Linked DNA regions of Diceros bicornis minor. The protein of the gene in region 1 interacts with the protein of each later gene in a biochemical or structural test. Links are inferred from orthologs where the notes say so. Each region holds a gene or a part of one and is shown in the gene's direction. Other genes may lie near its edges. The genes, in order: DLG4, SIPA1L1 and NET1.

Evidence for each region.
Region 2: the proteins of DLG4 (region 1) and SIPA1L1 form a complex in vitro, tested with the Homo sapiens proteins (2 studies listed by BioGRID and IntAct, with this or other methods). The link is inferred for Diceros bicornis minor from reciprocal best matches to the Homo sapiens genes DLG4 and SIPA1L1.
Region 3: the proteins of DLG4 (region 1) and NET1 interact in a biophysical measurement, tested with the Homo sapiens proteins (2 studies listed by IntAct, with this or other methods). The link is inferred for Diceros bicornis minor from reciprocal best matches to the Homo sapiens genes DLG4 and NET1.

What each region holds. Positions count from the first base shown.
Region 1 is NC_080757.1:11,068,550-11,072,293, forward strand, and holds the start of DLG4 (disks large homolog 4), read left to right. Parts: upstream 1-826; 5' UTR 827-1,270; coding exon 1,271-1,300; intron 1,301-3,744. UniProt on the Homo sapiens protein: Postsynaptic scaffolding protein that plays a critical role in synaptogenesis and synaptic plasticity by providing a platform for the postsynaptic clustering of crucial synaptic proteins.
Region 2 is NC_080763.1:19,729,856-19,733,599, forward strand, and holds the start of SIPA1L1 (signal-induced proliferation-associated 1-like protein 1), read left to right. Parts: upstream 1-919; 5' UTR 920-1,519; intron 1,520-3,744.
Region 3 is NC_080775.1:6,573,724-6,577,467, forward strand, and holds the start of NET1 (neuroepithelial cell-transforming gene 1 protein), read left to right. Parts: upstream 1-846; 5' UTR 847-961; coding exon 962-1,089; intron 1,090-3,744. UniProt on the Homo sapiens protein: Acts as a guanine nucleotide exchange factor (GEF) for RhoA GTPase. May be involved in activation of the SAPK/JNK pathway Stimulates genotoxic stress-induced RHOB activity in breast cancer cells leading to their cell death.

The sequences.
Region 1 (3,744 bases):
CGCAGGGGTCATCCTGACAGTGTCCTCCATCAGCGTCCACCAGGCTCGGCTGGAGGAGCTCCTCCCTGACCAGACAGAAGGAGGCCAATGATGGCAGGGATGGCCAGGGAGGCAGGGGCAGGGGAGGGTAACTCAGTTCTGTTCCTGTGACAGACATCCTGGACTATTATGAGGCTTCCATCTCAGAGAGTCAGGTAAGGGGGTGGGGTGGGGGGACTGACTTCCTGAGGGAGGAGGCAGGGCTGGAGCAAAGTACTGAGGGAGGCACTGCTAATATTTAACTGAGACTTGGGGGCCCTGGGGATGAAATTCTGAGTGAGGGGCATGGAGAATGCACTTTCTCCTGTCCTGCAGCCTCTTCTCCCTCTTGCTTCCCCCCTTTCTTTGCCTGCCCCAATTTCAGGCACTAAGAGTCCAGGACGTAATTACTTTTCAGGCTTCCTCCTGTGAATCCCGAGGGAGAACTAGGCCCCCAGGGATTCCCTCCTGCCAGCCCCTCCCTCACCCCCTGCCCCCTATCACGGGCTGTCTCCAGTATTTAAACAACCGTGGGTGCTCCCAGCCCGACTCTGGGTGCTTCCTCTGAGAAATGAAACCCATCCTCATCGTCTCTGCTGTATCGCTGGTGGCTGGCCAGGTCTCCATGTTTGCCTCAGGGCCTCTCCTCTCCTGCTTCCATCTCCTCTCCCATTATCCGGGTTCCTGCCAGCACTGAAGGAGTTAACTCTGCCAAGGCACCCCCCCCATTCTCGCTCCTCGCTCGCTCCCTCCCTCCCCCTGCTTCCTCTCTCCTCCTCTCTCCCCTTCCCTCCTCGGCTCCACGGCTCCCTCGGCCGCTGCCGCCTCCGACCCCCCCACCCCACTCCCCCGCCACGGCCCCTAGCCCCTGGCCGTTAGGCAAGACCCCCCCCTACCCCGGGGCTCCCCAGAATCCAGTTCCCCTCCCCCACCTCAGCTCATGCCCCAGCCCCCGAACTCCGGGGCTGCCAGCCCCCGGTGCCCCCGCCCCTCCTGAGAATCGGGGTGTGCTCCCCGAGCCCCCTCCCCTCCATTGGGGACCCCCTTTTAGGGCCCCCTTCCCCTCCCTCCCACGCTTCCCTACCTTTTCCTTCTCCAACCCCCTCTTTCCCCTCTCACCCCTCCCCCCATCCTGGCTCCCCCTGCAAAAGTGGGGTGCGGAGGGGGGAGGGGTGAGAACCGACGGAGGGGAGGAAGGAAACTCCGATGAAGTCAGAGCCCCTTACCCGCCGCCGCGGCCAGGCCCCCCAACATGGACTGTCTCTGTATAGTGACAACCAAGGTAAGCGTGATGGGGGGTCTGTAAACTGGGGGGAGGGTATGAGTTTGTGGGGAGGGGTTAGGCAGGCCTAATCTGGGGCCAGGGGGCCTGGAGTGAGAGCATCAGAAGATGTATCTCAGGGTCATAATTTACTTTTGGGGTGCACATCTGAGAAAACGCTTGGTTTGGCCACAGGTGCCCCCGGAGTGATCCCTTTGTACCTGTAGAGAAATGGAAAATTTGGTGTATTCCATGGTTTGGGGGGTCTTGTGGGTTTTGGGGTTCACCAATGATGTTTGAGGGAGACTTATTTAAGGAGAAGCCTAGCTCACATGGGAGTTCTGCTCTTGTGTATGTTAGGTGGACTACGTGGTGGGGGGGTCCTTTTTCCCCCTGGGGGACAAGCTGGCTTCCAGGTGCCTTGTCTAATTTCAGGGGGCTCCTGGCTTGGGGGTAGAAGGTTATTGGTTGGGAGTGCCTGACTGGTCTGGGGGTGTCAGCTGGCAGGGAAAGGGTGGGCCTTCAGGCTATGGAACAAGCGTCTCATGGTAGATACATTTGAGGGTCTGCTCAATTTGAAGGAACTGTTAATTTAGGGTTCGATCATATGGAATGGGGATAGTTGGGAGTTGTCAGAGGGCTGGGGTCTGGCATAGGATCACCTGAGGGAATGGACCAGGTGAGGTTAGGATTTGGGGGTACTCCCATGGGACGTAGAAGGTTGCGGCAGCTGAGGTTGCCAGCTCCTGAGGAGGACGATGGGAGGTTTTGAGAGAGAGGGGATTTAAGGAGGGGAACCAGGTAGGTGGTACAAAATTTGGAGGTGGCCCAGGCAGGTTCCCAATGTCCCCATCCCCTCCTACACTGTATCTACCCCTGGTTGAGAAAGAGGGAGAAGAGCAGATGGAGGGGACTGTTCCTGTTACTACCCCTGACACTTAGGATCAAGGTTGGGGGGACACCTGGATTTAAGGTTACTGGGGTGAAAAGGAGTAGGAGGAGGGCAGGGCTGGCAGCAGTAAGGATCTGTACAAAGGTGGCCTTGTGGTTGGGGCCTGGAAAGGGCAGGAGATCTTGGATGGGGAGCGCAAGCAAGCTCCTGGTGGGATGCAGAATACCTAGGTCTTGGCCGGGAGACTCTGGAACTGGAAAGCTGGATGCCTGGTGTATGGAGGGAGGCTTGGGCGGGTGGCAGGCAGCTGGGGGTTGGGGGGTGGGACAGGAAGTGGGGGCCGGGGAGGCGGGGTCCGGGTGAGTCACTGGCTGGGGAGGGGGTTATATTTAGTGGGAACTGCAGCTTCTCAGGGGAGGGAGCTGAGGACACACATGTTCTGTGCCACAAACTCACACATGTGTGTACACATGCGCTGTACACATGTGAGCATGGATGGAAGAGACTGGGGGCTGAGGACCTTTAGGTTCGGAGCCCCCACCCCCTCTCCAGGGCTACTTGCTTGTACCCTGTTTTGTGGGCTTTGGGCTTTCTCCCACACTGCTTCTTTCCCTCACCCCCTGTAGTTTCAGTGGATTTTGGTGCCTCAGTTTCTCTGGCCTGGTCTCCTTTAATGTCTATCTGATCCTCTGCTCCACCTGTCTCCTGCCCTTAGCCTGCCCCTTAACCTTAGGCTCCCTGGCTGTGGTCTCCTGTGTACAGGTGTACACAGAGAGCCAGTTGGAATGTGTAGGCTCTGCTTCCAACACGTGAACATAACGCCAGTGAGGGTGAGGGGCTTGCCTGCACTGGCAGCTATTCTGGGAGGGTGGCTTATTCATTTCCCTTCCAGACTCCTACTTCTTCGATGGAGCCCAGGGTTGAGCCTCTCCGAAGGAAAGAGCCTTGTGCAGAGAGGATCATGCATTTGGGGTTTTACAGAGGCATGGAGACCCAGGCTTACCATATTACTTGGCCGGAAAACTTGGCAGTCTTGGGATGGCGGGGACTCCAACTCCCATAAGACCTTGAGGCACAAGATCCCTCAGTGTTAGAGGGCTGCTGCCGGTGGGGCTGTTGGGAGTTGTGGTTCATCTCTATCCAGGGCAGCGAAGGGTAGCCCAGGAGGAGCCAGCAGGGGGCACATGGCACTTTTTCCCCCAAAATGCTGTGTGGGGAAGGGGGTGCCCAGGCTTTGCGGTCGTTGAGCTTCCCAGCTCCGTCTGAGTCCTCCATTTTTCATTGCCTATATTTAGACTCCTGCCGCAGTGATTTAAGGAACATTTATTGAATGCCACTATGTGCCAGGCCCTGTGCTTTGTGCTAACTCTGCCTTTATAGCTATCACTTAGTCTTACTCCGTGCCTATATCTCTGCCTGTCTCTCTGTCTCTGAGCATCTTTCTCCCACTCCGCCCCCGTCCCTCCCCCTTCTCCCCGCGCTGCTGCCGCCGTTGCCATGGTAACCGGCGACGACTGAAGTTGCGTGGCGAACTTGAGGGCCGGGCGCGGGTGGCGGAGGGCGGAGCAGAACA
Region 2 (3,744 bases), on another chromosome or scaffold:
TATAGAGTCAAAGGAAAGTACTGAAGACACGGACAGACTGTGGCGTTCACTTTTTTCCCCAAAAGACAATAAGTAAATACCTACTATGTACCAAGCCTGTAGAGGAGCTGAGAATACAAAGATGAATAGGGCAGATCTTCAAGGAGCCCAGTCTGGTGGTGCTGGTGGTGATGGGGAGGTGGAGTGGGGGAAAAGGAGAGAGCGAGCATATGGAGTGGGGGTTGGGGATGAGATTAGACGAGAAGCTTGAAAAACTGAATATATAGTAGAAATTTGGGGGTACAGATATACACTGGCTTCTCTGGCAGAAATCTGCCCTGGAACCTCTGAAAAAAAACCAATTAGCCTCATTTGCCAGATTGGGCCAGATATCATGAAGCTGGTCTTCTACAGATGCCTTCTTGAATAGGCTTAAGAATCCGCCTTCCGCTTCTTGCTTTCGCTTCCTCCACCATTAGGGGCCGGGCAAGGGAGGGGGCAGGTTGAAAACTGCACCCACGTTTGCTGCCTGTGCTCTCTGCAGAAGACAGGAACCCAGGGCTTTGCCATCGTCATAGCAACCAGGAGTTCCACGGTTCCCCACTTCCCTCCGACTCCTTCCACTTCCCCCGCCGGCAGGGCTGCGCTGCCGCTTCTCTCGCGAGATTTGCGAGCCGCGCTGAGCAGCCCAGCAGTGATCTCACCCGAGACTTGGGGCGGGAGGGAGAGAACGAGGGGAAGGAATGGGGCAGGGAGGCGGAGAAGAGAGGGGTGGGGAGGGGAGGGAAGGGCCAGTGAGGCGCCGCCACCGCCGGCAACTTTGTGAGCGAGTTCAGTGCGTGCGTGAGCGAGTGAGCGAAAAAGTCAGTGCGGCGCCGAGTTCCAGGAGGAGGGTCCCCGGGGAGGGCCAGATCGGGGTTTCAGAGGCCACCCCCAGTCACTTCATCCTCTCCCGCCTCCCTGGCTCCCTCGCCATTTCCTCCCCCCACGGGGCCTCCCGGGCCTTCCCGCCCCCTTCTGCAGTTACCTGTCCCCTCCCCCACTCGGCACGCACCTCCCCTTTCCCCCGCGCCCACCTCCGACCTCCGGACACTGGACTCCCAGTCAGCTCGCACTCCCTTCCCGCGCCGTCCGCCCCCTCAGCTCTTTCTCCTGGGGGCAGGCGGGCGGAATGGGGGGCGCTGAGCCTCGGAGGCGGCGCGAGCGGAGACCCGGGCGCCCAGACAATAGTTGATGTCCGGGGACGGGGGCACCTCCGCCCCCCACTCCTCCAGGAGCGCGGCCCCCGCCGGCAGCTCTCCAGCCTGCATTCCGGGTCCCCCCCGGAGCCAGGCTCCGGAGTTGGGCTGATTCCGCCCCCGCCTCCTCCGGGCCCCCCTCCGTTCGGCGCCCGCCCCGGCCTTGCTGCCTGCCGTTCTCCGCAGAGGAGGCGGCGAGGGAGCGCGCGCCGACCGTCTACACGGTTTCTCTTTCTCCCCAGAGAGAGCGCGCGGCGGACGCGCCCCGGACGCGCGGCGGCACTCGGAGGCCGGGCCCAGCGGTAAGTGGCTCCCGCGCCCCGGGGCCGAGCAGGGGTGCAGGACTGTTGACAGCCCCCCACTCCATTTCTGGCTGGGGCTCGGGTCCAGGGCCCGGAGCAGGACACCGGGAGGCCGGTCAAAGTTTTATTTCCGATTTGGTGGCGTGCTGATAGCGCAGCCCCGCGGGGGCGAGTCCGGGCTGCACAGCGCCTGGCGCGCGCGCACGCATCTCGGAATCCGAATCTGCACAACTACCGGCCAGGCGCCTGTGCGAGAGGCCGGGAGACCCGCGCTCCCGTCGGGGTGACTGCGCCCACCCCGCTGCTCTCGTCTCCACCGGGCGACCCTTCCCCTTCAGTCACCTGGGTGAGCGCTTTGCAGGCTGTGCTGGAGGGGACAGGCCGAGAGGTTTAATCACCAGAGAGGGAGAAGAGCAGCTCGGTGGCCGCGGGTGGTTAATTTCTCTCCCAAGGGTCTTGGGCGGGGGCGGTGCAAGTCTGGGATGCTCTAACTGCTTTCCTTGGAGCAAGTAAACCTCGAGAGGGCTGGGCACGCATGAGGGTCCTGCAAGAAGAACTTTTCCTCCTTCGCCCTTTCTGTTTCCAACTTGTCTCCTGACCTTAAAGGAAATTTGCGAGCCTCCTTGTCGCTCCACGGCATTTCTAGGCGGACAAGAAATCGTGGTGGGCAGGTTGAAATTCCATCGGGTTCACCGTTTGGAAAATCTAGAGACAAGGGAAATGGCTCACTTTTAAGGAAGGTGTTGTTAAGTGAGTAGTTGGTATTCATTTTTGAAGGGAAGCTTTTGGGGACTGATGGCTCCTAGACTGCATTTACCTTATAGATTTTATTTTTATGCCGGGTAGTTTAGAGGCAGCATTCACTGAAATTCTTACTACCTGCTAAACGATTATGTTTCTAAACTGGGAACCAGTGATGCGATGCAAATTTCAGAGTGAGTGTCGACTTTCATCAGGTTCCAGGTCTATCTGGATGAACTGGGGTTGGCGTTTCCTCTATAAAGCAAACCTTTCATGTTGAAACTCTGACTCAGATTCTTAAAGCCATTGTTTTTATCCTGGTACTCTGTGGGAGTTTGTCAACTTTCTCTTGTTTTCTCCTATGGAATATTCGTCCAAGGCAAAGATTCTCTGACTTAATCTTTTGGAAAAGTACAAGGTTAAGTCCTGTACAATCATTCTCTGCGGCCAGTTTAGTAACAATATTAATTTTCTATATTATCCTGATTTAACGACTTTCGCTTTTCCCTTTTTCAATTTTTTGAAAGCTGCAATTAAGCCACCTTTACCAGGGTGGGAAAAAAAAAAAACGCTGATGGGAATAATATAGAACAGTGGTAACAACAGTAGTCTCAAATAAAGCAGTTTATGGTCACTGATGTGTCCAACTATTAGATCACATACCAGTTATTAACGAGATTAATATTAAAACATTTTTCCCATGGAATAAATTATTTATACTAAGGCATTAGCAGTTAACAATGCATTTAAAATGACCTGGGTGAGGATTTGCACATAAATGGTTAGGGGCAAAATAAGAGATTTTGGGGGATGAATGGTTTAATGCGGCTGACAACTTGTTTTCTTATCTCATTGTGCTTAAGTAAAGGACTCCCGACGTTGACTGTATCATTGGGCTTTTCCGGTTGACTGAGAGAACGAGTTTGGCAAGTGGCTCAAGACAGTCAGTAGGTGTTGCTGTTAGCTTCTCTGCAGTTCCTGGTACTGCTCCTCGAGTTTGAGATTGCAATTCTGGTGCAGTGAACTTTTTCTGTCTGAAGCGTCAGGCAGTGTTAGCTGTGGCTTCTTTGTAGGATTCTGTGGCAAGGTTGACCTAAACCTTGGTAAGAATTTCAAAACATCTCACAGAAATTTTATATTGAGATTCTTTTAATTCTTTCCTTTCACTGTTTTCTGGCTTTAGTATTTACTTTGCTTTTACTTTGATTATGTGTGTAGTTTTGGTGGAGCCCTCCCCTCCATGCCCCCTTTTAAAAACACCTAGTAACTTTATTGAAACATTGATTGAAGATTGCTTGAAGATGGCGGTTTTGTAGACTTTGGGGGAATCCATCAGAGTTGAAATATGTATATGTTCTAAGGTTTGCAGTTTGAATTTTTCAATAAATGGCTGTTTTCTGTCGCTGAGCTGTGCGACAGGAGCATGAGGAGAGGTGGAACAGTATAAGAATACAGAACCCTTGAATCTTTCCAGTTCAGGGGAA
Region 3 (3,744 bases), on another chromosome or scaffold:
TCATCCCTTGCTCTCAGGAAGCACAGGGGAGGTCAGAGCGCCCTTCTTGCACCTGCTGTTTTTCAAGTGCCTGTAGCTCAAAATAATCCTCGTGCCAAAGTGGCATATTCTGCCACTCCTCAATGTAAATATAATTTTATTTCTTAGGATAGATTCCCAGAAATGGAATCATAGTGTCAAAGGAGAGATTATTTTTAAAGCCTTTGACACATAAAAAGCAATATTTAAAATCAAAGAATGTGCTCATTTAACAACTGTCTTTTTATTTGAGAAGGTCCTTTATTTGATGTTGTTACTTCGGCTGCCTTTTTAATAATCAGAGGATGAAGGCACTTTCACTTTCTTTTGCTAAGGAGAGACTGTCTCTTTGGAACTGGGAGACAGGAGGGCTCACAATTAGATACCACTGGTTTCCTACAGACAGCCTTAAGAACACATTTCCACTCCCTTTGGTAAACGGGGATTTATCTCACGTGAATAATTTAGCGTATATGTGGCTAATAACCAAACCTCATTATAAGTCATTACTTTCAGCCTCTCTTCTCACCAAATGCTGAGAAAGATCTAAAATGCTTCCAATTTCATTGGCCTATGGTGAAAGTCCTAATAAACAATGCAGTAGGCAGCAGGCTTTGGGGATTTAGGAATGGAGCCAGAATTCAGTCCAAGGCCACTCACTTATCTGCATGGCTGGCCGCTCTGACCACCCTCCCTTTCCTGCCTCCACTTAAGCGCCTGGAAGGCGTGGAGGTGGAGAGGGGCGGGACTCACGTTTCCTAGCAACCGTCCCCTGTCCCCTGATTGGCTGATCTCCTGCGGCCGCCATTTTCAAACCCCGGAAGATGGCGGCGGCGGCGGCGACTTCGTGACAGAAACTGCTCTTTGGGCAGAAGTGGTCGGGCGCCGTGCCGGTCCCCGCGGGCCTCCCGGGCACCCGGCCACCTCCCCACCCCTCCGCGCCATGGAGCCCGAGCTGGCGGCCCCAAAGCAGCCCCGGCCGCGGAGGCGAAGCCGCCGGGCCTCCGGGCTCAGCGCGGACGGCGCCGCGGGGCCTTCGGCCGACAACCCCAGGCCGGAGCTGGACGGCAGGTGAGCGCGGGGGTCGGCAGCGACTGGGGACCCGGGCGTCCGGTCCGAGGCCCGGGCCGGGGGGTAATGGGAGAGGGGGGTGAGGGGAGCGGGGAGGGGCGGGCTGCTCACCCTCCTCCTCCGGCCCTTCCTCAGGCGGGGCGCGGGCTCCTCCTCCTTCCTACCCACCCCCTTCTTTTAGGCGGGCGGCACGGGCTGGTCACTCACCTCCTCCTCCGGACCTTCTTCAGGCGGGGCGCCGGAAGATCACCCTCCCCCCCCTCCTCCGGACCCTCGGGCGGGGGCGCGGGGAGGTCACCCTCCCCCCCCGACCCTCCTCGGGCGGGGGCGCGGGGAGGTCACCCTCCCCCCCCCTCCTCCGGTCCCTCCTCGGGCGGGGGCGCGGGGAGGTCACCCTCTCCCCCCAATCCAGACCTTCCTCGGGCGGGGGCGCGGGGAGGTCACCCTCCCCCCCTCCTCCCGACCCTCCTCGGGCGGGGGCGCGGGGAGGTCACCTTCCCCCCTCCTCCTCCGGACCTTCCTCGGGCGGGGGCGCGGGGAGGTCACCCTCCCCCCGATCCAGACCTTCCTCGGGCGGGGGCGCGGCGAGGTCACCCTCTCCTCTTCCGGACCTTCCTCGGGCGGGGGCGCGGGGAGGTCACCCTCCCCCCTTCTCCGGACCTTCCTCAGGCGGGGGCACGGCGAGGTCACCCTCTCCTCCTCCGGACCTTCCTCGGGCGGGGGCGCGGGGAGGTCACCCTCCCCCCTTCTCCGGACCTTCCTCAGGCGGGGGCACGGCGAGGTCACCCTCTCTCCCTCCTCCAGACCTTCCTGAGGCGCGGGTGCGGGGAGGTCACCCTCTCCCCTGATCCAGAACTTCCTCAGGTGGGTGCGCGGGGAGGTCACCCTTCCCCCTCCTGCAGACCTTTCTCGAGACGGTGGGGGGGGTCACTCTCCCCCCCCCGACCTTCCTCAGAAGGGGAGTCGGGCTGCTCCCCCTCCTTCTCCTCAGACCCTTTCTTGGGGGGCGCGACGCGGGGTCGCCAGTGGAGGTTGGTTATCCACACCCAGTGGGCTCCGGGCTGGAATGTGAGCGTTCCTAAATGCAAATGACAACACAGAAACTGTGCTGGAGCCTGCGGGGCTAGGGGAGAGGAATTGTCACCGCAGCCACGATAACTTCAGACGCCAAACTTTTAGCCTAAAAGCGAGCGTTAAAATGAACTGTTTTTCCGAGGCCAGAATCCTTTTCGAGAACTGGCCAAGTCGCTGAACAGAGCACAGTTCACGCCTCTAGCCTCCTGGGTGAAGAGATCGAAGAGGACAGTCACTGACTTTTTAACTATTGACACATTTCCCGTTCTGTCTCCCGTGACAGTAAAGGATGGACACTAGATGAGGGTTTCAGAAGGTTGTGTCTGGAGGAGGAGCGCTGTAAGAGGAAGTACTGAAGACGTTGCTTTCCCATCACAGTATTGGAGGTGGTAGGTTCCAATGACTGGTTGTTGGACCTTGCATCTCCAAGGCTGTCTTCATCTGTAAAGTGGGCCTTATAATAGTTTCCACTTCCTCTAAGTTGTTGTGAAATTCAGTGAGATAATACATGTAAGGTGTATACCTAGTAGCTGTACACAGAGAGTTCTCAATAAATGTTAAACTGTTATTTGTTGGTTTTTGTAAGAATATTTCCACCTCTGCTTTATCTTTTCAAAAGTCCCTGTGGTCCATTTCACATTATTGCTTTAGATAAACTACAGTCCCTTACACAATTTACTTTGCAGTCATGGCTGGATGTGCTGATCCCTTTTTGAGAGAGAGATAGGAAAACACCTTACTTTCATCAACAAGGCATTTATAAACCCATTGTGAGTTACTCTGCTTAGGGTAATCCTTGCCTGAATATACCTTCATGAAGCCTTTATACAGACTACAGCCTAAATTTAAGAGGTAGATGGAAGAGCAGAGAGAAAGAAGTCTTCATTTCTGAGATTGAGAAGCAGGAGAACCAGGAAAGACTAGTTAAGAGAAAATGAAAACAGAATTTCAAAAACGTCAGACAAAGGCAGTGTTAAATTCATTCTACATTCATTCAGTAATGCTATTGAGCACCTGCCTAGTGCCAGGCATTGTTGTAGATACTGGGAATTCTGGTGAACAAGGGAAGATGAAGTCCCTGTTCTCATGCAGCTTAAATTCTGGTTGAGGGAAAAAATAATAATCAAGTGAATATATAAAATAGCAGGTGGTCATGCTGTGAATAGAAGTAAGGCATGGTAAGGGGGACAGAAGTAAGGAGAGAGTGATGTTGCTATTTTAGGAAAAATCACAAGGAAAAGCCTCTCTGATGATAATGATGACATTTGAGCAGAGATCTGAAGAAATTAAGGAACTAAGCTGTGTAAATATTTGGAGAGAGGGGCAGCAAGTGCAAAGGCTTTGAAGTAGAATCCTATTTGATGTGTTTAAGGAACTGCAAAGAATCCAAGATGACTGGAGTGGAATAAAATAAAAGGGAGAATGGTAGAAGATGAAGTCAGAAATGGCTGGGGCCAGATCATGTAGTACCTGGTAGACCGCTGAAAGGACTTTAAGTTTGAATGAGTGAGTTGAGAAGCAAGAAGAAATGATGTGATCTATATTTTTAAAGGATCAATCTGTTATGTGGCAAGGATAGAA